Linked DNA regions of Saccharomyces cerevisiae S288C. The protein of the gene in region 1 interacts with the protein of each later gene in a biochemical or structural test. Each region holds a gene or a part of one and is shown on either strand. Other genes may lie near its edges. The genes, in order: SNF5 and INO2.

The links.
Region 2: the proteins of SNF5 (region 1) and INO2 form a complex in vitro, tested with the Saccharomyces cerevisiae proteins (2 studies listed by BioGRID).

Annotation. Positions count from the first base shown.
Region 1 is NC_001134.8:771,977-785,246, forward strand, and holds SNF5 (Snf5p), read left to right. Parts: upstream 1-7,690; coding exon 7,691-10,408; downstream 10,409-13,270. Other genes in the region: YBR284W (metallo-dependent hydrolase superfamily protein), read left to right, coding at 1-1,656; HAB1 (Hab1p), read left to right, coding at 1,946-2,380; APE3 (aminopeptidase Y), read left to right, coding at 2,724-4,337; YBR287W (uncharacterized protein), read left to right, coding at 4,595-5,878; APM3 (Apm3p), read right to left, coding at 6,036-7,487; BSD2 (Bsd2p), read left to right, coding at 10,615-11,580; CTP1 (Ctp1p), read right to left, coding at 11,697-12,596; YBR292C (uncharacterized protein), read right to left, coding at 12,726-13,097. UniProt on the Saccharomyces cerevisiae protein: Involved in transcriptional activation. Component of the SWI/SNF complex, an ATP-dependent chromatin-remodeling complex, which is required for the positive and negative regulation of gene expression of a large number of genes.
Region 2 is NC_001136.10:693,621-706,553, reverse strand, and holds INO2 (Ino2p), read left to right. Parts: upstream 1-7,085; coding exon 7,086-8,000; downstream 8,001-12,933. Other genes in the region: ARO1 (pentafunctional protein ARO1p), read right to left, coding at 1-2,070; palmitoyltransferase SWF1, read right to left, coding at 2,310-3,320; ECM18 (alpha/beta hydrolase family protein), read left to right, coding at 3,796-5,157; YDR124W (uncharacterized protein), read right to left, coding at 5,265-6,239; serine/threonine protein kinase KIN1, read right to left, coding at 8,660-11,854; DPB4 (DNA polymerase epsilon noncatalytic subunit), read right to left, coding at 12,379-12,933. UniProt on the Saccharomyces cerevisiae protein: Positive regulatory factor required for depression of the coregulated phospholipid biosynthetic enzymes. Also involved in the expression of ITR1.

The DNA.
Region 1 (13,270 bases):
GTAAATAAGTTTCCAGTTTTTCAACACCTACATTCCAAGGAAGAAATGAGACAGAGCAAAAAGGTGCCACACAAGGATTTTTACAACTGTAGAAAGATTGATCTGAATCTTCTGTTAAGCGGCTGTTTCTCACAGTGGCAATTGACTGAGTTTATTTGGACCAAGTTGAGAAAAGAACCGGACAGGGTTATCCATCAAGCTTTTAATGGTAGTCATATAACCTTGAGCCAATTATTCAAAGTGAATTTCGAGGAGACCGGTCAGTTCTTCAATGGGTTGAAAATTATTGACGATTCATTTTTGGAGTGGTATAAAGTTATTTATCTCGCAAAATATCATTTGGTTAACGATGAAATGGAAATACACACAGGCTCACACGGTAAGCAGCTTCGATACTATTTGATTGCGAAAACATTTTTGGAGTTTGATAACTATATTAATGGTGAATACTTAGCGGAACTACTGAAAACGTTTTTAATAAAACCGCAAGAGGAGTCGAAATATCAGTTATGTCAACTCTCCGTGGACTTCCAATTTTATCTGCATTACGATAATTCCGATGTGGACAATTGGTGGATGGTCTTTGCCAATTGGCTGAACCACTATAATATATTTTCTAACAATATTCGCTGGAATATTCGCATTTCTAGAATTTATCCAGAACTGTATCATACTGGCAAGGTGAAGAATTTTCAGGAGTATTTAAATCTAATCTTCAAACCACTTTTCAATGCCGAAAATTATCTACACAAGTCATTAGGACCTATTCTTTTGAAATTTCTTTCTCAAGTATCTTCGATTGATCTATGTATTCAAGATACGGACAACTATATTTGGAAAAACTTCACAGCAGTTAGTTGCTTGCCAAAAGATTGGACATCTGGCGGTGATAATCCAACCATTTCACAATATATGTATTACGTCTACGTCAACCTAACAAAATTGAACCATATCCGCCAAGCCCTTCATCAAAATACCTTCACTTTGAGAAGTTCATGTTCTCCCACCTCAATGAATCGAACTTCACAGTTTAGTAATACACTGAACTTCACAGAACATACGGAAGCTATTTTAAACAATTTCTTGCTCGCCTGTGGAGGGTTTCTAAATGCAGAAAATCTCTGGAATGCACCACCATCACTGGTGTATCTTTTCTATCTAAGTCAAATTCCCATGGTTGTGGCGCCTTTGAATTCCATAGTAGATTCAAAGCCTACAATGCTGCAAGAACAAGCCCCGACGGGGCTTGTCCTAGAGCCCTCAAAGCCTTATAAGAAGAACCCTTTCATGAAGTTTTTTGAAATGGGGTTCAAGATATCGCTGAGCTCAGAATCTATCCTCTACAACAATTCGTATACGAAAGAACCCATTATAGAAGAGTATAGTGTAGCGGCTAGTATATACCGTTTACATTCAGCAGATTTATGCGAACTTCTAAGAAACAGTGTCATAACCAGTGGATTTTCAAGTACCCTAAAGAACAAATGGCTCGGCGTTTCCTTAGCCAGCCATGACTACTTCGTGGAAAACACTGGGTTTGTAGACAAGTGGTATGATTGTAAACCAAATACAAGTTTAGAGCATAACGTTCCGATCATCAGACGTCAATATCGCAGTAGCACTCTCGCAGGGGAGTGGCGACTCATAATTGCGTGAATTCGCTCATGTTTCTTCGAGGGGCGCATATTGTGACGCTAATATTATGTACCGCCCTTCCCCACACACACAAAAAAAAAAGGTTAAGGATAAAGATAAGTAAACTAATGGAATATATAAACAAATAAGTAAGTAGATACTGTAAATAGAACACACGTTTTTTAATTTATTTTTTTTTTTACATATCTTAATTTAATATAAATCAAAAAGCCCAAGCCTCAAACAAGAGTCTTATCACTCCATTTATAACATAACAATTCGAAATCTCTAAGCTCGCTTATAGTTGACAATGACCATATTTTCTAGGTTCTCATATTTTGATAGTCTATTCTCCTTTAAAAAGCAAGAGCCTTCCCCCATTGAAATAATCTATTGCAATGAAAACAATGGTTTCATAAACATAAAATCCTTAGAAAGCCCCACTGACGATAGCATGGAGGCGGACATTTCAGATAGAGAAATGGCTACAATCCTGACTAGAAACAGAAACAATTTGGGTAAGGTTGCCATTGATAAGAAAGGCGTTAATAATCATTGCATAGATTTGAATGAGCTGAAAAAGGGCCTTGTCGCCAATGAACACAAATTGGATAACGATAACTCAACACGGCACCAGAACACATATTCACCAGAGGATTCCGTGGAATTTGATAGGTTCGATGATAAACAAAGCAGAATACTAAAGTGTAGCACTAGAAGGAGCTACTTGAGATACAAGAAATAAGACAATTGAGCTGCTTCATTATATATCTTGATATAATCACCTTTCTTATCGTCAGAAAGAGTGTTCTCTATGTTTTTGTGCTTCCATAAATATATAGTTCAAAAAGTAATATCATATACTATTAATAATAAAAGTTATACTGAATATATTGATTAGTTCTATTAATTACTATTGACACACTTTGAATTCCCTTAAATTAACCCTCAGGAAGAAGGGGTCCTTAGGAAAATTTTTCTTTTTTCAATATAAAAGCGAGGAACAATGGATGGGAACAAAACCATGTTCAGCCTTTCAACAATTGGTAGAAGAAGCCAAAAAAAAAAAAAAAACAGAAACGCCAACCATGCACTTTTCTTTGAAGCAATTGGCTGTCGCTGCGTTTTACGCTACCAATTTAGGCTCTGCCTATGTCATTCCTCAATTCTTCCAGGAAGCCTTTCAACAAGAAGAGCCAATTGAGAATTATCTTCCGCAATTAAACGACGATGATAGCTCTGCCGTTGCTGCCAACATTCCGAAGCCACATATTCCTTACTTCATGAAACCACATGTAGAAAGTGAAAAATTGCAAGATAAAATCAAAGTTGACGATTTGAATGCTACTGCTTGGGACCTCTACCGTTTAGCTAACTATTCTACTCCTGACTACGGTCACCCTACCCGTGTGATCGGGTCCAAGGGTCATAACAAGACTATGGAATACATATTGAATGTTTTCGATGACATGCAGGACTACTATGATGTTTCTTTGCAAGAGTTCGAAGCTTTATCCGGTAAGATCATCTCTTTCAACCTCTCTGACGCCGAAACCGGTAAAAGCTTTGCTAACACTACAGCTTTCGCACTTTCTCCACCTGTGGACGGGTTCGTAGGTAAGCTAGTCGAAATTCCTAACTTGGGATGTGAAGAGAAGGATTACGCCTCTGTAGTCCCACCAAGACACAACGAAAAGCAAATTGCCCTTATCGAAAGAGGTAAGTGTCCTTTTGGCGATAAGAGTAATTTGGCCGGTAAGTTCGGTTTCACCGCTGTGGTCATTTACGACAACGAACCTAAATCTAAAGAAGGACTACACGGTACATTAGGCGAACCTACCAAGCACACTGTCGCCACCGTCGGTGTTCCATATAAAGTTGGTAAAAAATTGATTGCCAATATTGCATTGAACATCGATTATTCATTATATTTTGCCATGGACTCTTATGTAGAATTTATCAAGACCCAGAACATCATTGCCGACACAAAACACGGTGATCCTGATAATATTGTTGCCCTTGGTGCTCATTCAGACTCTGTTGAGGAGGGCCCAGGTATCAACGACGATGGTTCCGGTACTATTTCCCTATTGAACGTCGCTAAGCAATTGACCCATTTCAAGATCAATAACAAGGTCCGTTTTGCATGGTGGGCTGCTGAAGAAGAAGGTTTGCTAGGCTCTAACTTCTACGCTTATAACTTGACCAAAGAAGAAAACTCCAAGATCAGAGTATTTATGGACTATGACATGATGGCTTCTCCAAACTATGAATACGAAATTTATGATGCGAACAACAAGGAGAACCCTAAGGGGTCTGAAGAGTTGAAAAACCTGTACGTAGACTACTACAAGGCTCATCACTTGAACTACACTTTGGTCCCATTTGACGGTAGATCCGATTATGTCGGGTTTATCAACAACGGAATTCCAGCCGGTGGTATTGCCACTGGTGCCGAAAAGAATAACGTCAACAACGGAAAGGTCTTAGACAGATGCTACCATCAATTATGTGATGATGTCTCTAACTTATCCTGGGACGCATTCATTACCAACACCAAGTTGATTGCTCACTCTGTGGCCACCTATGCTGACTCTTTCGAGGGTTTCCCAAAAAGAGAAACCCAAAAGCACAAAGAGGTGGACATATTGAATGCTCAACAACCACAATTTAAGTACAGGGCCGACTTCTTGATTATTTAAGTGTACTGTTCACATCAAGTATTTCTGTATAATTATCTAAAAGAAAATAAAAACCCTCTTTTTTTTAACTGCACGTGCATCAAGGGGATCACAGCCTCCTTATCAAAGTGAAAAAAAGGTAGAAAAAAAAACTGAAATTGTGATATAAAAGTTTAAACAGGAAATTATTGTAAATTGAACAATATGTGTGAAGCCCGTTTTTGGTTTGTTATTCCCAACTAACCATACCCTCATAGATTACTCTGCATTTCTACTATATGGTTGAAACATTTAGTTTTGCTCATTTGGCTTATTTGGTCTTTGAGTCCGTTTTACAGGTAGTCATTATCGCACTCGCTGGTTTTTGGAGCGCTAGTTCTGGTCTGCTGCCCAAACAAAGTCAAAAAATCATTTCTCTGTTGAACGTGGACCTTTTTACACCATGTCTTATTTTTAGTAAGTTGGCCAAATCCCTGTCCATGGCCAAAATCTTTGAAATAGCCATCATTCCTATTTTTTTTGGTTTGACTACTGGTATTTCATTTATTTCCGGAAAGATAATGAGCCGTATCCTAGACTTGGATAAAGATGAAACTAATTTTGTGGTGGCAAACTCTGTCTTTGGTAACAGTAACTCTCTACCTGTGTCCTTGACATTATCTTTGGCTTACACTCTGCCCAACTTAACTTGGGACCAAATTCCTAATGATAACAGAGATAACGTTGCATCAAGGGGTATTTTATACTTGCTGATCTTTCAACAAATCGGACAAATGCTGAGGTGGAGCTGGGGTTACAATAAGCTAATGAAGTGGTCTGGAGAGAACACTCAGCATATGCCACCTTCTCAAGTGCAATCTTTGTTGGAAAGGACGCCCAACATTGATAACGAGGAACTTGTCAATGAGGAACAAGAGGAACAAGAATTGCTTGAAGAAGAAAATAACAGAATGAACTCATCTTTTTTGAGTTCGAGTTCCATCGGTGATAAGATTTGGCAAAAATCATGCACTGTATTTGAGAGAATCAGAGCGAACCTTAATCCTCCGTTATATTCCATGATTTTTGCTGTTGTTGTGGCAGCAATTGGTCCGTTGCAGAGAGAGCTATTTATGGAAGATGGGTTTATCAATAACACATTTGCCGAGGCTGTTACGCAGCTGGGTTCAGTTTCTATCCCACTGATCCTGGTTGTCCTCGGTTCTAACTTATATCCTTCTGCGGAAGTCTTCCCTAAGACGGTTCACCATAGCAAGTTATTGATCGGCTCCATCATCGGAAGAATGATTTTACCTTCTTGCTTCCTTTTGCCTATTATTGCTATTGCTGTTAAGTACATAAACGTGAGTATTTTGGACGATCCAATTTTCCTTGTTGTCGGTTTTCTTTTGACTGTTTCCCCTCCTGCCATTCAATTAACTCAAATCACTCAACTGAATGAATTTTTCGAGGCAGAAATGGCCGATATTCTATTTTGGGGGTACGCTGTCTTAAGTTTGCCTGTAAGTATTATTGTTGTCTCAGGTGCAATTTACGTTTTACAGTGGGCTAACCCAACTTAATACAACTTTTCATTCCTTTGTATAGAGTCTTCATGAATGAAAGTCTTATTCATTTTTTTTTTTTTTTAGCATAGTTTTATATTCCTTTTTTATTCCAAGACTTATATTCTCATTATATTCTATTTAGTTTCGCATGGAATTTCAAGTACACATATAACTACAGCCTTACTTGAAAATTGCCTGTCTGGGTCTTATACTTTGCACCCTTGTACAGCTTTGTATTTTTGCCAATTGTTAATCCAGATACAATATCGATGGCTTCTACATAGATTCCACTGGCCGATTGTCCTATGTAAGAATATTCTAAGGAGACTGTTTGTAAATCAACTTTTTTTGTAAAATTTGGCCCAGTATTTTCATACTCAATACAGCCACGTAGTACAGGTACCGTTCCAGTGGCAGTTGATTTATCAAAAATCCATTGTCCTTGACCCATGATAATGCTATTTTCAAAACGGCCATGAGTATTGCGCAATATTTTTATCTTATATGCTATTTCATTTGGATCAGCATTCTCAACATTGAACTGTAAATCTATTTTTAGGTCATCAACTTGTGAAACTTTTTTGAAATTTTCAATATTTAAGGATAACTCAAATTCATCAGAATCTTTACCCAATCCATTTTGGAAGTGTAAAGACATCAAGCCAATAGAATTCATCCTTACTCCGGATTGCTTTACTTGAGAACTTAAATCGACGGAATACTCCAGCAATCTGAACTTCCCATCTGGTGGTATAAACGTTATATTAGAGGGAGAAAACACACCATCATTGATTTCAACACAGTCATGCAAACTGGGTATACCTATATCATTTCCCATAGTGTTTAATTTTACTGCAACTAGAGGATTATCATTCAAATAAGATCTCACGTCCACTATTCCATGGATACTTCCAGTGAGCAACCTTAGATGTGATTTTTTCTTTTCAAATACAACATGGAATGTTTCTAACAAATCCACATAAAGCTCATTATTCTCATGTTTGCTAGCCCTTGAAGTTCTCCAGGGAACAATCTCTTCATTTTCGATTAGTGAATTACTACCACGAGAAATCTGATTTTGTTGTAGCTGCTGTTGCCTTTGTTGTGGGAGTTGCACAGCCTGCTGTAAATTATGGGCTGTAGAACTTATGAACTTCGATAAATCCGATCTTTCAGGAACAGCTTCTTTAATTTTATTAACATAGAGCATATCACTCACATTTGGTTCACCCGCTTCGACGCAACAGTTAAAAATCAAACTGATTCTATCATAATTATTAACAATTTTCTTGATACTTAATTTATCCTTGTCAAAATATTCTAACAGGATACGATCTATAGTCTCTAAAAAGGTAAAACAATCAAGCGGGCCTTTTGACTTCGAAGTGGAGGCTAAGCACCAATAATTGAGCTTATTTATAACTGAGAAATACTTATAGACCTCTAAATCTCTTCCAACCATTGAATGGTCTAAATAATCATCACTACTGCTATCTTCGAGCAATTGAGGACATGTGGACTGAACGCGGGTCCACAGGTGCTTGAAGGAGGGAGCTGTTGCACCTAAAAGATACTGGAAAATAAGTTTGTTCTTTGTATCAGTGATATAGAATGACAAATACATCTATTTTGGTTGGGTTGGTAAGGTTTACAGCCTCTGTTGTTGCCCAAGTCCTGTTATCGCCAACTTTAAATAAATCTCTTCTTGTTCTTTGACCAAAAATTTCATTTTTCGTCGCATTTAAAAGAAACTGAAATTTCAAACATAAACACCAAAACAAAGCATCATCAAGGGAACATATAGTAAAGAACTACACAAAAGCAACAATGAATAATCAGCCGCAGGGTACCAACAGCGTTCCAAATAGTATTGGAAATATATTTAGCAACATTGGAACTCCATCTTTTAACATGGCGCAAATTCCGCAACAGCTGTATCAGAGCCTCACACCACAACAATTGCAGATGATTCAGCAACGACACCAACAGTTACTGAGGAGTCGTCTACAACAACAACAACAACAACAACAACAAACTTCACCGCCACCGCAAACGCATCAATCTCCACCCCCTCCTCCGCAACAATCTCAACCCATTGCTAATCAATCAGCGACTTCTACCCCTCCTCCTCCTCCAGCACCACACAACTTACATCCCCAAATTGGTCAAGTGCCCTTAGCTCCAGCGCCTATTAATTTGCCTCCACAAATTGCTCAGTTACCTTTGGCTACACAGCAACAAGTTTTGAACAAGTTGAGGCAGCAGGCCATAGCAAAAAATAATCCACAGGTTGTGAATGCAATTACTGTTGCACAACAACAAGTGCAACGCCAAATTGAGCAGCAAAAGGGACAGCAAACGGCACAAACTCAGCTAGAACAGCAGAGGCAATTGCTGGTTCAGCAGCAACAGCAGCAGCAACTTAGAAACCAAATACAGCGACAACAGCAACAACAGTTTAGGCATCATGTGCAAATACAACAGCAGCAACAAAAGCAACAACAACAGCAGCAGCAGCATCAGCAACAACAACAACAACAACAGCAACAGCAGCAACAGCAACAGCAACAGCAGCAGCAACAACAACAGCAACAACAACAACAACAGCAGCAGCAGCAGCAGCAGCAGCAAGGACAAATACCGCAATCTCAGCAAGTTCCTCAAGTTAGATCCATGAGTGGACAACCTCCCACCAATGTTCAGCCAACTATTGGCCAACTTCCTCAACTTCCAAAATTAAACTTACCCAAGTACCAAACTATTCAATACGATCCACCAGAAACCAAGCTACCATATCCAACCTATTGGTCAGACAAAAAAGCAGATACGGATACTTTGTTGTACGAACAAATTATCCAGCGTGATAAAATTAACAAATATTCGCTAATAAGAGAAACCAATGGTTACGATCCGTTTAGCATTTATGGATTTAGTAATAAAGAGTATATTAGTAGACTGTGGCATACACTGAAGTATTATCAAGATTTGAAGAACACTAGAATGAAATCTATCACAAGCACTTCTCAGAAGATTCCTTCGGCAAGTATTTGGGGAAATGGTTACTCAGGGTATGGTAATGGGATTACGAATACAACTACCAGAGTTATTCCACAAGTAGAAGTTGGAAATAGGAAGCATTACCTAGAGGATAAATTAAAAGTCTATAAACAGGCCATGAATGAGACATCGGAACAGTTAGTTCCCATAAGATTGGAGTTCGATCAAGATCGTGACAGATTCTTCCTCAGGGACACTTTGTTATGGAACAAAAATGACAAGCTTATTAAAATTGAAGACTTTGTGGACGACATGTTGCGAGATTACCGATTTGAGGACGCTACGAGAGAGCAACACATTGATACTATTTGTCAATCTATACAAGAGCAGATTCAGGAGTTTCAAGGAAATCCATATATAGAGTTGAATCAGGACCGTCTAGGCGGTGATGACTTGAGAATTAGAATCAAGCTGGATATTGTCGTGGGACAAAACCAGTTAATCGATCAATTTGAGTGGGACATCTCTAATAGTGATAACTGTCCAGAAGAGTTTGCAGAGTCCATGTGTCAAGAATTAGAACTACCAGGTGAGTTTGTGACTGCCATTGCTCACTCCATAAGAGAGCAAGTTCATATGTATCATAAATCACTGGCACTGTTAGGTTACAATTTTGATGGATCAGCGATAGAAGATGATGACATTAGAAGCAGAATGCTCCCAACGATTACTCTTGATGATGTTTATAGGCCTGCAGCGGAAAGCAAAATTTTTACTCCAAACCTATTACAGATTTCAGCTGCAGAGTTAGAGAGATTGGATAAAGATAAGGACAGAGACACAAGAAGGAAAAGAAGACAAGGTAGATCTAATAGACGTGGTATGCTCGCATTGTCCGGCACATCTGCAAGTAATACATCTATGAACGGCGTTCACAACACAGTAGCAGCAGGAAATGCTTCATCGTTGCCACCAGGAGAGATTTTACTGCCAGATATTGCAGATATTCCAAGAACTTTCAGGACTCCAGTACCTAGCACTTTAATGCCTGGTGGTGTTGACGTAGGCCCTTCTGTGGAATCGTACGAATTGAGAAACACAACCACTTATAAAAGCAGGCCAGATAGACCTAAGCCAGTTTCACCTCCTTGTTATATTATTGACCATATTCCGGGTCATTCGCTACTACTTTCTATTAAACTGCCTGGGAAAGTTAATACAAAAGAAGAGTTCGCAGCAGCGCCCAATGACACAAGTAGTGGCACCAATGCAATGCTTCCGAGTCCAGAATCGCTGAAAACTAAGCTGAATAGTAACATTCGCGCTGGTGTGACGATACCTTCAATCCCAAACCCGATTGCCAATCACACTGTTACTAATTCACCCAATCCCACACTGCAGCCAGTAATCCCAGGTGGGGCAGCTAGTAAATCGGTACCTACACCTAGTCTTCCTATAGCACCTCCAGTAGCACCACATGATAGCGAAGCGACATTGTTGACTAATAGCAATAATGGTAGCAGTAACAATAACACACAGAATACATAGAAAATATATACACATATATAAAATATACCGGAGATGTAAATAACCGTGGAAGAATTTGTATTATCATCGTGTTATACGATGCGGAGTCCCTTTGCGCCTACTTTTTTTAGAAGAATAGTACATAACCTTTATAAAAATCTTCCAATTTAGATACATAAAAAGAGCATGAGAATAACAAGAACACGTAGTCTAGGAAACTAAGCGCTATGCCAGAGCAAGAACTACTTATAGGGCAAGAAATGAATACACTTCATGCAGGTTCATCTACTGATGGCATAAATGTCGGAAACGCAGGACGAACTAGAGACACACAAACTGGCGTAGAAGGGGAAACGGAAATAGGGTCTGACGAGGAAGATAGCATAGAGGACGAGGGAAGCAGCAGTGGAGGAAATAGTACGACAGAAAGACTAGTACCACACCAGCTGAGGGAACAAGCAGCCAGACATATAGGAAAAATAGGAAGACATTTTAATATTCTTGATAGACTTTTTAAGAAACGTACACAACAGTCTTCGGATATACAACAAGGTGCCATGTTTGATGGTGTCTTTAGCAATTTAAGCGCAAAACCAGATACCACAGAGACTGAAGGTAATAACGAACAAGACATACCACCTACATACGACGAAGCTGCTGCTGATATGGCCCCCTCGTATTATGGAATGGATTTGAACAATTCAGATATCTACTACGACGAAATATGCATTGAGGGGCTTCCTGTAGGAAATATAGCAAATTTATTATGGAATATCATCGTAAGCACGAGTTTTCAGTTCATTGGATTTTTAATAACCTACATTTTACACACATCTCACGCAGCAAAGCAAGGTTCAAGGTTTGGATTAGGGTTAACGTTCATTGGATATGGTTATTCAATGATTCCCAATGATGTTACTTCAAAAGTCGGCAAAAATAAAAGCTTAAATAGAATGGAATTAGAGGATCCAAATGAATTCGATGATGTTCGTCTAAATTCACAATCAACGACACAAGATAAATTTGAATCACATTTGAATCACGGTCTGGATGAAGAAAAACAAAACATACCATGGTTGGCTGTTTTTGTGGCATTTCTTGGGCTATTTATCACCCTGAAGAGTATATACGACTACATTCAAGTCAAAAAATTGGAAAAGAAATACCTCAACCAAAGTCAAAATCAAGCATAAGCCATCTTCTTCATTATGATAAAAAGAGATATATAACTTTTTTAAGTGATCGGCTGGTAAATAGACTTATAACGAGTAGAAAACATTAGATGATATATTGTACACAATAATACATTTCAGGCTAGCATAACTAAGACCTTTTCATAGATAGTGAAAACAATACCACCACTCAAGACCAATCTCCCAAGTCTAGGCGTAGCACCTTTCCAAAACGTCTTTAACCCTTCTTCTTTGAAAATGGTTGCAAAACAATTCATTGTAGAGGAGTATTTGGTGGAATCCAAACTTTGCATTCTTGTTTTCACAGTATCAAGGGGCATGGTGGAATAGACCGTCACAATACCACTAAATGCACCCACTAAGAAGGTTAACCCGGATGATAAAGGTTTGTCTTTTGGCGAATCCGTATAATCTTGGATCAAGGTCTTAATCTTATTGTAACAACCCAATCTAACGGCTTGGTTTGCGGCCTGTCTCATGGAAACTGGCAAAACACCACGATAAAGACCAGAAAATCCTTTATCACGGACTAATGATGAATAGTTTCGTACTACACCGCGCCCATTATTATGGTATTTTGGTGTAGCAGATTGTTTATCATCGATCAAAGCAGTTTTGATTGCTTCAAAAGGAGTCACTGCGGCAACACTTTCTAATAGTCCCGCACCTAACCCAGCTATCACCCCTCTTGTACCACTTAGTTCTCCAGTTTCACTATCTCTTAGCATGTCTTTAATGGTATCAAAGCCAAGAAATCTAATACCCGCCTTAGCGGTGTTTCCAATAATAAATGCGGGACATCCGACATAAATGGAACCAATGCCCTGAGTTTTTGCAGTTTTATATATCAATACCAGAGGATTTCTTGATGCCTTGGAGGCCTTATCAATCAGCTGCAGCCTTGTTTTGGCAAACTCAAAAGGATATGTTATACATGCTTCAGCAGCACCGGCTAGGGACCCTGCCAGAAACGAGTGCAATGGATCTACGTCACTTTTGGTAGCTTTACTGGACATCGGTAAAATGCTAATTTATAATTCAAGCTCTACTTTGGAGTTCTTTCATTGTGACATCAAAATGTTTTTAATTTTACGTTGGCTTCGACATTTTACGTTTTATATATCACGCTAAAGTGAGACTAAATTTCATTGTTCTTCTTTTTTTTTTTTTTCACTTCTAATAATTGAAAATTCCGCAGGAATTCTTCCATATTCTTGACTCTTCAGTAAGACTAACTTAATGGAAATAGAGAAAATAGTACATATTTGAAAAAAAAAAAAGAGGTGTTGAAATGATTTGAGAATATTAAATAGCTTACAAGCGTTAGCCGAGTTCCCAGACAGCAGAGTTTCTACCCTGTGCTCTTTGTTGGCGGCTTTATTGATGAGGAATATAAAAATGTAATTAGGCAAACCTACGCGCGAAAATATAAGAAGCAAAGATATAAAGTGTAGTATATTTGAATATTTACATGAACGAAACGGCGACGTATAATGGTAATCGGCTGGGAACTTCATTAAAAAGTCAAGATGTAAGTTACCTCTTAGTAAGAAGAGTTATTGCAGCAAGCTTAGTATCAATAGGGAGACTCTGTCATGTAAAAAAATAAATGAACACAATCATAACCTCTTCGACTGGGCTATTCGTTGTATAGTATATGTGGTGGAGTGTAATGAATGAAGTTCTCAGA
Region 2 (12,933 bases), on another chromosome or scaffold:
TGCAAATCTGGCATCACCTTGTAACGACTCAAAACCAATGTTTGGAACCGTTACGGTAGTACCAGTCATTGCGGCGAAGGCCAATGGGTATGTAGCACTTGAGGCATCACTTTCAATGACGTATTCTGATGGGTTAATATAATGTCCCTTTGGAATATAATAAGTGTAAGGTTCTGTAGTAGAAGTTTCAACATTGATACCGAATTTTTCCATCATTTTTATTGTCATATCGACGTACAATTTAGAGATTGGCTTACCACCAACAAGAGCCAAAGTTACAGGTTCTTCAGCGTATGGGGCACACATCAAGATAGAGGATACGTACTGAGAAGAAACTGTAGCAGCTAATTCAATTCTACCACCTTTGAATACCGAATCAGTATAAACTTTGATTGGCAGGGAACCTTCATTATTCAAGTACTCAATTTTAGTACCATTAGCACGCAAAGAATCGACCAAAGGAGCAATTGGTCTTTGTTGCATTCTTGCGTTACCAGTTAAAACGATATACTTTTGGCTTGAAGTAGAATTGACCAAGGCAGCCAAGGAAGTCAAAAATCTAGATGCAGTACCTGCATTACCTAGATATAAGGGGTCAGCACAAGCTGACAATGTGGAACCACCATGTCCTTCCACCACTACCGTCTCACCATTATCTTCCCATGATATCGTAGCACCTTTCAATTCATGAACAGCGGTTAACATATGTTTAGTATCATCAGAATGTAATAAGTTCTTGATTTTACATTGACCTTCACCGAGGGCAGCAAGAATTAAAGCACGATTGGAGATGGACTTAGAACCAGGGGGGATAACAACTTTCTGTTGATCAGCAGGGATGTCCTTGAAGGGGTAAACGAGGGTTTCATCTGTTAGAATAAATCTCAGGTCTTCATCGCTAACAAATTGAGCGGAGTCACCATAGCACTTACCAATACTTTCTAAAATGACCACCTTCTTTTTGGAACCCTCGTTTTTCTTGTCAATACTCATTTTCTTCAATAAGATATCCAATGGTGTTTTCTTATGTAAGGTTAGCTCTTTAAACCATTTCTCATCAGGCGAAACAGGCAACCCGTAGGCAACCAAAATCTTGGATAGACGTGCAACTTGGGTAGGGGAGAGAATACCGAAATAACGGGATAATTCCGCCTCTTTAACCATACCAATGGACACACATTCACCATGTAATGCTTGTGGGGTTAGTATAGCTTCATAAGCATGACCAATAGAATGTCCGAAGTTCAAAAGGTTTCTTAGACTGGATTCACGTTCATCCGAAGAGACAACTTCCGCTTTGACCTTAATACTCTCAAGAACTAACTTATATGTATGATCCAACATAGCTTCAATATCTGTATTCGATATCTCGTCAATCTCGTTTGTCAATTGATTGGTAACCTTGACATTTTTTGCCCCATTAACAACATTTAAGAACAACGAAGCGTTTGATTCTAATCTAGTAAATTCGTCAGCGTTCCAAATACAAGCAGTCTTGATAACTTCTGCCATCCCATTGATAAACTCTCTCTTGGCTAACGTTTCTAGCCATTTAATATCTACAAGGACAAATTTTGGTTGCCAAAATGCACCAATAAAGTTTTTACCTAGAGGAGTGTCAATAGCAGTTTTACCACCAATGGAGGAATCGACCATTGCCAATAAGGATGTTGGTACTTGGACAACACGAACACCTCTCATAAATGTAGATGCAACGAACCCAATCATGTCACCAATAACACCACCACCGATCGCTACCATAACCGTATCACGAGTACATCCTTCCACTAAAAGATAATCTTCTAGCTGCGCTTTGGTTTCTCTACTTTTACTTGTCTCACCTGGTTTAACAACATAAGTAAGTAAACGAGAGCCTTCTGGCAAAGAAGCCTTGAATTCCAGGACTAATTGCTGGTAGTATGGAACTTTACTCAAGTTCGTATCATTGCAAATAACGTATGTCGAAGAAGGACAATGTTTAATTATGGTTTCAACCAAATGGTCATGAATGTTATACCCAACGTGGATAATATCATTTCCTAGAATTGGGACTTTGGCTAACTGCACCATCGTAATATACAATTATCTTACGTAGGGATTTCTCAACTAGGAGATTATATAAACTTGAACGACCGAGTATAGCTGTGATCTGTTACTAATGGTTACGAGTCGGCGTCCTACCTTCTATATTAATAAACCGCTTGTATAATGAATTTGTTCGACATTTGCGGTTAGAATCTATGGCGGTGAGAAAAAACCGAGTGAAAAAAAATTTCATGTTCGGGATGAGTCATATGCATGACAATTTACTATATTAAATCTGTGAGATTGGCCAGGAAGGTACCTTTGTCATATATATTGGGAATTTCGGACGCGTCTTTAATCGTGATGTAGTGTGTAAGGTTGTAGTGCTTATGGTCGTAGGCATTCGTGCTATAAAACGTAACATGTTGATCTTGGAGTGGTTCAGCAGCGTCATCTTTTTGTTCTGTGCATTTGAAAAACCAAGATGGGCAATCATCATCCAATGATCTCACCAGTTTTCCTTCTCTCATATACTCTTGAATGGTATACCATTTATCTTGCTCATTTGTAGTCATTCCCTCCTTTACAATGGCCAATTGAAGATACGTGAAAATAGCGCAGATGATAGTGAAGCATCCACATAATATGGTAAGAGTCAGAACAGCTCTAGGGAGCGTACTTGTGCTATTTAAAGAAATGTACCACAGCCTTAGAAAGGCGTAGCACATCGAGAATATGTTGGAAATTAGGAAAAGGTAGAATTGAAGGTAGTTTCCCTTTCCGATGCAGTTATTTATCCAGATGCAATGATGGTCGGCGACGAGAACGCATCGGTTGCAAATGCTACAATGTTTGGATCTAGCAGGCTTGACGATCCGGCATGTCGAACACTTTATGGCAGGATAATACAATAGGTAATCATATGGATATTCCTCTGTCGAGCCTGATTTATGATCCTTTGAATCCTCAGCTCTGCTTACCATGGCTAGAATTCCTAATGCTACCGGCGGTAGTATAATTATAGGCACGATCAGTATTCGTTCTAAAAGGAATAGCTCATTCTTAATCGTAGACTCCACTCTCATGTGGTATGTATATACTAGGTACAGGTAAATAGAGGTGTAGAAAAGAGGTACTAAATGCAACTTCCAACGATATTTTTGGTCATCCACTAGGAAGGGCTGAAACACATTACGATAGAAAGTCGAAAATGGCCATGTTGACTTGAAGACGGGCGAAAGTAATATCAAAACTACGAATCCTATTAGCAGCACAAATAGTAGATTCCATGACATTGTTTGTTCTTTTCATGTTAGGAGACAAAGATATCTTCTTTGGAGGCATAATGAAGTTTTTTTTAGGAAGGCGGAAGTATATATACAATGACACTACCTTTGTTGATAGCTACGAATTTCCTAAAGAGAAAGTATATTGTAGTATTTATATGAGTTGCATAGTACGTTATTCAAGGATAAAATGCCGAATAAATGCTTTAGATGATTTAAAATTCTGTATCGGATGGTTTTAATTAAAAAGTTTCGTTGGAGGTTTTCACCTCATTTTTGAAAAATAAAAATTCAGACCAAAACATTAATTATTTTGGCTTTGAATATACTGACCTCCTGGAAAGCCCTTGGACATTACTAAAATTGAGACAACTGTTTCGATTCCAGCTTAGAACTCCACAGAGCTTCACATGTTTTACACCTCTATTTATATATTCTGACAGTTTCCTTATGCCTTTCCAGTTTAAGGATGAGCGAATGAAAAATGCTTTTAATAAAGAGGTACTTGATGGACCCTGAAAGTTTAAGGAGGCAGATAATGAATGTATATAAATGTTACATGTGGAAGAGAGCGTTCCACAGTAATAGAAGCCTACTGGAAGTTAAACGTCGTGAAAAGAGTCTCCAGAGAAAAATTTTGGAAAGGATTCTTAGACCCAAGGAGGAAAATGCTGTCAAAAAATCTGGATTCAAGCTATGGTCAAGCCATTTGAATAACCCACACAAAACTTATATGCGGCTGGAGGAATTACAGAGACGTATTATGGAAGAGGTACACGTTGAAGGTATTAAAAAGAATGATAAGTTATTCAACGAAATAAATCAATGGCATTTCCAAAATGAAAACACAAGTACTGTTCGAACACCAACATTGCTGATACATGGCTATGCCGCATCTTCAATGTCTTTTTTCAGAAATTATCCAGGTCTGTCCAAGCACATCCGAAATTTATACTCAATTGACATGCCAGCGAGCGGATTGTCTTCAGTACCGTCTTTAGAGATCAATACAACAACACCTCTGCCGTTAGATATCAAATTTATTGGAGAAAATAAATTTAAGGTTCCATATACAATAAATGCAAATCACAATAAATTTGTGATTCAAATGTACGAAGATTTCTATCTCGACAGAATCGAGCAATGGCGCATTGATAACAAATTGGGCAAAATGAATGTTGTGGGGCATTCTTTTGGCGGATATTTATCTTTTAAATATGCTGTTAAATATCCAAACTCGGTAAACAAACTTTGCTTGGTATCCCCACTAGGAGTGGAAAGGAATATCTGGTCTGTAAATAATAATTTCCACTCCAACACTCTTTATACTATCGATTTTAAAAATCCAAATTCCAAGTTTTACTCCAAAAGAAATATGATTCCAAAATACTTATTTGAACAACAATTTCACATTTTGAGAATGATGGGACCATTAGGAGCTAAGTTATGTTGGAATTACATAATGGCGGCATATAGCCGAGTCCCATCGTTGGCATACAAAGAGTACATATTTGAACTGTTTTACGGTAAGGGAGGTATACCGGAGGTTACGACAGATATTTTCAAAGCGTTATTTTCAAGATGTATCCTAGCAAAGGACCCCTTGATGGATTCTCTGCAATATTTAAATGTTAAGAAATTATTGATAGTATATGGGCAATATGATTGGATGAATAAAAAAGCCGGTATGTTCATGGTCAAAGAGTTGAACAATTTAAAGAACTGTCTAGAAGGAGCAAGTTATTTAGAAATACCTTCTTCCGGTCACAATCTTTTTTTAGATAACCCAGAATCATTCAACCAATCTATAGTGTCCTTCTTATCAGACGAAACTAAATCGCCTTGATAGCAACCAAATCAAGTAGCAAAGAGCCAAAAAATGTGTTAATGTATGCTATCCCCCTTTTTGCTTTTGCGCTCCTCACACCTCTTTTCTTTGCTTTGAAATTTTTCTCAAATAAAATCTTTACAATCATCGCTACTAGTTAATTCATCCAATTTAGTGAGGAATAACGGATCAAATTCCACTAAATTTTCTAATCGAGATATGCTATTCGAATAATCCTCCGATACAGGGTCTTTCGGATATTCCCTGGGGAAATACTCTGTGTCACTTTCTTTTGAAGGAAGGATCATCGAGGGTGAAGAATCGCTTCCACTTGACTGTTGTAACAAATCTTTTTCTACCTTAACCATTTTATTTACATCAAATCGACGACTATGGTATGATTTTTTCTGTTTTTGGGCTAGGTCATTTAAATCATCAAGTGATATGGTCTTCTGCTTGAAATCTTTGTTGCACAAGCATTTCGCAATTTCGAAAACATTTTTCATGATTACTTTCTTCACAGTTTCTTTCTTAAAAATGGTCATTGCGGCGGTCACTCCTGTAAGCTCGTCCAAAATCTCAAGGCTGAAGGGAGATTGCGGTAGAACATTCATAATTATCGTGCACATCAATTTCAGTCGATCCGCTTTCTGGAGGTGGTCCGGCTCTTTATGTTCTACATCTTTTGGCCACCATTCCGGCCTTCCAGCATTGCCTTTAATGTATGGAAACCTGGTTTTCTTCCTTGGCTCAATAATTTTTATCCACAACTTAGCAATCGCCTTGCATGGGACCTGTCTTAATAATTTAAAAGCCGTATACAGATAATTCTGTATTAGTAGGGGTTGATCTAAGGGTAGCATGATCGCTGGTTGGATATTTTCTTCATAAACAGTTATTCTTTTCCTATTTACCAATGGATCGAACGTGAGTGGAGGGTTTTTTTCAATTGAAGATGATATAAAACTCTCTGAGAACAAGTTTTTTGGAATTGACTCACTTATTAAATGGTCTTTTTCCTTTATGAACACCATAAACTCATATCCTTGACCATTTAGCAGCGCCAGCGCCCTTCTAAGCTCTTCCATACCTATACGCATGTACTTAAGCTGACTCTATCGAAAAATGACGTACGCACAAATGCACATGTATACATACGCAATCCATCCTTTATATAAGCTGAGAAACAAGCAGAGGAACCTGCTTCAGTTGGGCCATCCCTTCGATGCTATATACTTCTAATCTTAAACTCTTCACTAAGACTTCGCAGGCACCGCTTCAAGGATGTCTCAGGTCGCGAGATTACTACAACAACTTAAAACAACCCTGATGCAACTGCAGCGTGCTGTTTTTCAACAGTACAAGAAAAAGTTCCATATTGTGCCATTGCCGATGCCATTGCAAAGGAATTTGTTCTCAGTCGCATCTCTCCTTTACTGCAGATCTGAGTTACTTTGAATCCTTGATAATATGGATCGAGTGCCTCTTCCATTATTTCTATTATTATAATCTCAACGCTTAATATGAATTAACCAACCACACTCAAACCAAATCTACGCCAGCTACAAATGGTAGGAGAATGAAGACACACCAGGACTCAAACAGGATTTCCCAACAATGTCTTTCAACATGCTGCTTGCCGGTCACTACTGCACTTCCTGCGCCTTTTCCGTTGAATCACCCTCCATAGTGCGGCAGATGGAACCAACCTAACCTTTTTTCAGCAGGAGGTAAAAAATTCGCCGGTTTTCTATCTCCCTCCGTCATCGGCAGGGCGTTGACACCTGTCCAAGTACAACACACATGTGAATTTTTTTCAGTGATTAAAGGCTCATCTCATCATATCTTATTGTAATCAGTATTTGGCGTCATAAGCAATTCGAAATTGGTTCGGTTCCATCTCGTTGACGTGCAATAAATAAATACATGGAACAGCAAAGGAGAAAATGCAACAAGCAACTGGGAACGAATTACTGGGTATCCTAGATCTGGATAACGATATAGACTTTGAAACTGCTTACCAAATGCTCAGCAGTAACTTCGACGACCAAATGTCTGCGCACATACATGAAAACACGTTTAGTGCAACTTCCCCTCCTCTGTTAACACACGAGCTCGGCATAATTCCTAACGTAGCAACCGTGCAACCCTCTCACGTAGAAACTATACCTGCCGATAACCAAACTCATCATGCTCCTTTGCATACTCATGCACACTATCTAAATCACAACCCTCATCAACCAAGCATGGGTTTTGATCAAGCGCTTGGTCTCAAGTTGTCTCCTTCCAGTTCGGGGTTGTTGAGCACGAATGAATCGAATGCCATTGAACAGTTTTTAGACAATCTAATATCACAGGATATGATGTCTTCCAACGCTTCCATGAACTCCGAATCACATCTACATATAAGATCACCAAAAAAGCAGCATAGGTATACCGAATTAAATCAAAGATATCCTGAAACACATCCACACAGTAACACAGGGGAGTTACCCACAAACACAGCAGATGTGCCAACTGAGTTCACCACGAGGGAAGGACCTCATCAGCCTATCGGCAATGACCACTACAACCCGCCACCGTTTTCAGTACCTGAGATACGAATCCCAGACTCTGATATTCCAGCCAATATCGAGGACGACCCTGTGAAGGTACGGAAATGGAAACACGTTCAAATGGAGAAGATACGAAGAATAAACACCAAAGAAGCCTTTGAAAGGCTCATTAAATCAGTAAGGACCCCACCGAAGGAAAACGGGAAAAGAATTCCCAAGCATATTCTTTTAACTTGTGTAATGAACGATATCAAGTCCATTAGAAGCGCAAATGAAGCACTACAGCACATACTGGATGATTCCTGAGCTCATACAAGCTATTAGTGATGAAAATGGCCTCCCGTTGGATGTATTTTTAGTTAATTTCGTATACATGGGCGAAAATATCATATGATTGCAAAGCTGGTCATGTAAATATATTCATTATAAACCAGACGGTAGAAAATCTCGTTTCTTTCCAGAGTGTAGCGTAGATTTTTGCGGACAAGAATTACCAGTATCTTCATTTTATTTAGAAGTTAAGAGAATCCGGAGGCAATGATGGTGAAGTAAAGAAATCTTTCAACGGCGAAGTATAATCTGTCTTCACAAACAGAATAACTGCGTACAAACTCGCAGTTATATGACCGTTACGAGTTGTATTGATTCAGTGAAGTAATAGTCCTATTACATCCATATGAATCCTGTCCTGGTAAACGGTGCAATGATCGCTCTACGTATACAAATTCTCTCCATCAATCGATGATGAACTGCTTTACACATAAAGTACGTGCCATTTATTTATAAATAATACCAATTAAGGGACGAAAATATTAACTGCTGAGTGTCTGCTTAGGTCCATTCTATTTCTTCTTTCCAAAAGAGAATAAAAAGAATCTATATATATATATAAATTTCTATCGAACGGATATTCTTGTTTTCGAATATCAAAAATGTAAGCTGTGGTTTCTCAGGGAACGTGTTACTTACAACTTTAGTTCTTTTAATATACTAGAAGCCAGCTCTTTATACAACCAAGTGTTCCCAGAAATTTTCTTAAAATGCACACCGGCTAAACCAACAATACGAACCTTGACGATATGAATTTCGAATTTGATGGGCTCTTTTTCTGTTGTAGTCATGCCTTCGCTACCGTCACCTTGTTGGTGGATGTTCTCCAAAGATGTTCCCGAATGCTTATCATCTCCATAGGTTTCGGTAATAGATGTTTTTCTCTGGTGAATGGAATTAGTTGTCAAAGGAGAAGAAGGTGAGTATTTATTAGAGCCTTGACGTCTAATGGATTCGTGGTGCGAAAGTGGCATGATCGATCTTGGAGTCCCTTCTCTCTTCGCTGCCACATTATTGGAAGAGAACCTTTGCATACAAACAAAACCACCCTTAACCTCCTTGAACTCTATATTCATTTTCCTCAGAACAAACATAATCTTGTATCTAACAATTGGCAAAGGCTTCGATGAAGTTGTCTGAACAGAAAAGAAACCCTTCAAAAATAAAGAACGGGGGAAATCGATGGATGGCATAGAACCGGCTGGAGCTCTAGAAGCTTCCTGCAATATCTCTTCATCTGTTAATTCCTTCTCCACAGATGGCGAGTTTATGTGTGCGTTCACAGAATGCACGCTGACGCTATCATTCGTCTGTGAAGTAACATTTCCCAAACTATCGGATTTGTTATCGTCACTTGATTCTAAGAACCCAGTATCTATAAGCTCTTGCTGAGGATAGGCAGATGAAGGCATTGGGGGTCTCATATATTTGAGTGATTCACGACGAGCATGACCAACTGATTTAGCTCTTGCGCTTGGATGTAGTTTTCGACCTTTTGCAACATTGAGAGGTGGTAAGGGATGATTCTCGTCGTCGTCGCTTCCTTCAAACTTCTGTGCAGCGTAAGCTTCCCGCCCGCTTCCTTTTGCAACTTCATTATTCTGTTTATTAATATCATGCAATTTCATTATATCTTCTTCAATTTGCTTCTCCCTTTGCTTCTCTACCATATTTTCTGCATCCGCAGGCAATGCTGGAAAGTCACCTTTATTGCCACCTCTGCTATCGTTTGTCTTGACAGGCTCATTCATGGTATAATTTGAATCATAACTCGGTTTAGCAAAACCAGGGACAAAGTCTGAAACAGCGCGAGAATGCGTCTTTTGCACAGGTTTATTGATACTATTATTACTATTAACAGATGTCTGTTCAATGGTCTTTTTACGGCGCTGTGATAATTTTCTAAATATATTCCCAAACTTCGCCTTTTCTGAGGGATCGCCAGTAGTTGAAGGTACCCTAAATTGTTGATAGTCATTTCCCTGAGGAGTTGGAGAGAGAGCATATTCCATTTCACGGCGTTGATTATCAGAACTTTTTCTACTCGTTGGTGACGTATGCGCTTGTTCTGGCATTGCTAACCTCGGTGGAATTAAGACATGTAAGGGGGGCTCTGTGCCATCGCTATTCTTTGGAGTGAATGGCACAGAGGTATCTTTTGTCGCCAACGTGGCTTCTGGCTCTGATTTCATAGCGGTTGTATTGACCTCTACGTCCCTTTGCTTCACACTTTCCGGTATTTCAGAAAGCTTTTCTATATTTTCGTGGCTCTGTCGCTGTTGTTGATTCCGAATTTTCGCATGTTTCCTATCAAGCATCTCAGAAGTCAAGTAATATATGGAAATCATTGGATGATATGCCCGAGTTGGGTCTTCAAAACTCTCTGTTATGTTTGGCGCGTTTCCGTTATCACTGGATTCTGCGTTCATTTTGGCCGCTAAAGTCCAGTATTGTCTAGAGAGAAGAACGTAAGTAGGATCTGTGATTATACTGACCAAAACACTTCTTGTTTCCTCTACATCGTCAATAAATTCTAAACGGTACATTTCTTTTAAGACATTTATATCAAGCATTTCGATAGTTAGGGGAACTCTTTTCGGTAAGTAAGAAGGAGGGGGACCATTGAACCCTCTTACCATCCAGTGGTGCTCCACAACCTGTTTAAGTGTGGCTCTTCTTTTCGGATCTACTACCAACATTTTGGATAACAGTGATATTACTTCGATAGATAAATGTTGGGGATATTCAACCTTACCTTGCTTGATCTTTTCATGTAAAACGCTCGAATTTTCGTCGTCAAATGGCACTTTACCGCATACCAAAACAAATAAAACTACACCAAATGACCAGACATCTACTTCAGGTCCTGTATAAGGATTCGCTTTTAACAGCTCGGGAGCGGCAAAATACAGAGAGCCACAGAATGTATGAAGCTGCTTCCTAGAATCATAAATATTTGAAAGTCCAAAATCAATTATCTTGATTTCACTGGAATCTGAAATCATTATATTTTCTATCTTCAAATCTCTATGGACGATGTTGTTAGCATGCAAATATATTAAGGCGCTCGCGATACCCCTAGCAAACTTTCTCGCTTGGTGTTCTCGTATTGACCCATGTTGGATGATATAGTCTAACAGCTGACCACCTGAAACATATTCAAACAACATATAGAAATGATTTGACAACGTGCACATCTCAAAAAGTCTACATATGTGTGGATGATATAAGATTTGTCCCAAGGACGCTTCTCGAATAGTTCTTTTGTCCCTAGATATTTCCTTCTCTAATTTCTTCTGTCTCTCCAAAACATCTTGTTCATTTTTGGGTGGTGGCAGCATTTGTTCTTTATGTAGGAAAGCCTTTGTAGCACGGTTTACAATTTTTACTGCACAAACCTCATTAGTGTAACGATGTTTTGCCAGCTTCACTTTACCCATAGAACCTGCACCAACTGTTTCAACAAACTCCCAATCTCCTAACGATTTTCGATGAAACTGCTTAGGCATGCCCTGAGAAGACGAAACTCGACTCTGGCTGGTAGTATTTGGCTTTGGTGCATTCTCTCTCGATTTACCTTCAAGTTCTACTTGTCTCTCCTTTTGCTCTGCTTGATGTGAGTTACCATTATTGGCGTATTTGATATCCGCCGGGGGCATTAGCGGTGTGTTCTGCTGCTGCTGCTGCTGTGGACTTTTTCCCATCATTCTCAGCGTAGCGGGCGCCATAGTGCTTGGTTGTGTATGCATGCTGTTGCTTTCACTATTGCCATCATCCTGCTGGTTACCTCTGCCCATTGAGAAGGCAGTATTTACGTGATAATCATCCATATTCTACGTGAGCAAAAAGTAATCGTAATAAACTGTACCTGTTTAAAAGAAGTTGAAAAAAAAAATGCGTAATAGCCCAAAATCCCTAGTATATTCAGTTGCTCTAATCGGAGCAAAGATGTTTGAATTTTACTAATCAATAGTTGGAAAATGAAAGACCGATAGGGTAGGGGGGCGAAGGGTGACAACTAATTATGTTAACTAGCCTAGGTTACCGTATGTCCTTATAATAACGAAGTAAATCTCAAAAAATTTCAAATCACAAAGTGGCTCTAACTAAACCTGCTTGATATCGTATCTCGCTAATACACTTCCTCAACGCCATAATTTCTTGTTAACGTTCCACCAATATCAACTTCTTGTCCCCTTTCTTTCCTTCCGCATTGGCGCCGCGTTGGGTTCCCCGGCTTGCAAATAACGACGATGAGTATAGCTTATTATGTATGTAGGTAATAAAGGCAAGTTACATACTACGATCCTGTGGGAGTGGTGGCAAGCACTACTAGACAGTTTCCATAGCGGGGTTACGTTTGCTCAAGGTTTTGAACTCTAGTTTCTACATCTTGGCTCTCCGTTTTCTGTTTCTTTTCGGAGGACTCTTCTACGTCCTGTAATGCATCGCCTTGTTCTTCTATTTCGTCATGCTCTTTAACCTTTTCCACGGGCACATTCTCCTTATCTTCACCCATATCTATATCGCCATCAGCATCTACTTCACCACTATCTAGTTTTTCCTTCTTCCTCTGTTCAACAGCAGCTTGGTATTCATCTAGTTTATCTCTAACCGGACCCTTCAATGCCGAGTGTCCTATATGGTCCAAAGCACTCAGAACATCATCTACACTGCAGCTTTTTTTATCTTGACTCTTTGCAATTTCCCTTGCAAACAGGAGCAAGTGGTTAACAAATACTGTAGCACCACGCTGTAACGCTAGTGATGCGTCTTTATTTATCAGCAGCTTTTTGCCGCTTTGCTGTGGCACTTCGCGTGCCAAATTCACAATAGTGCTTTTAGGAAATAACAGGTCCTGAATCGTAATGTTCTCTTGTTCTTTAATATACGAAGTAGTGGGGTAATT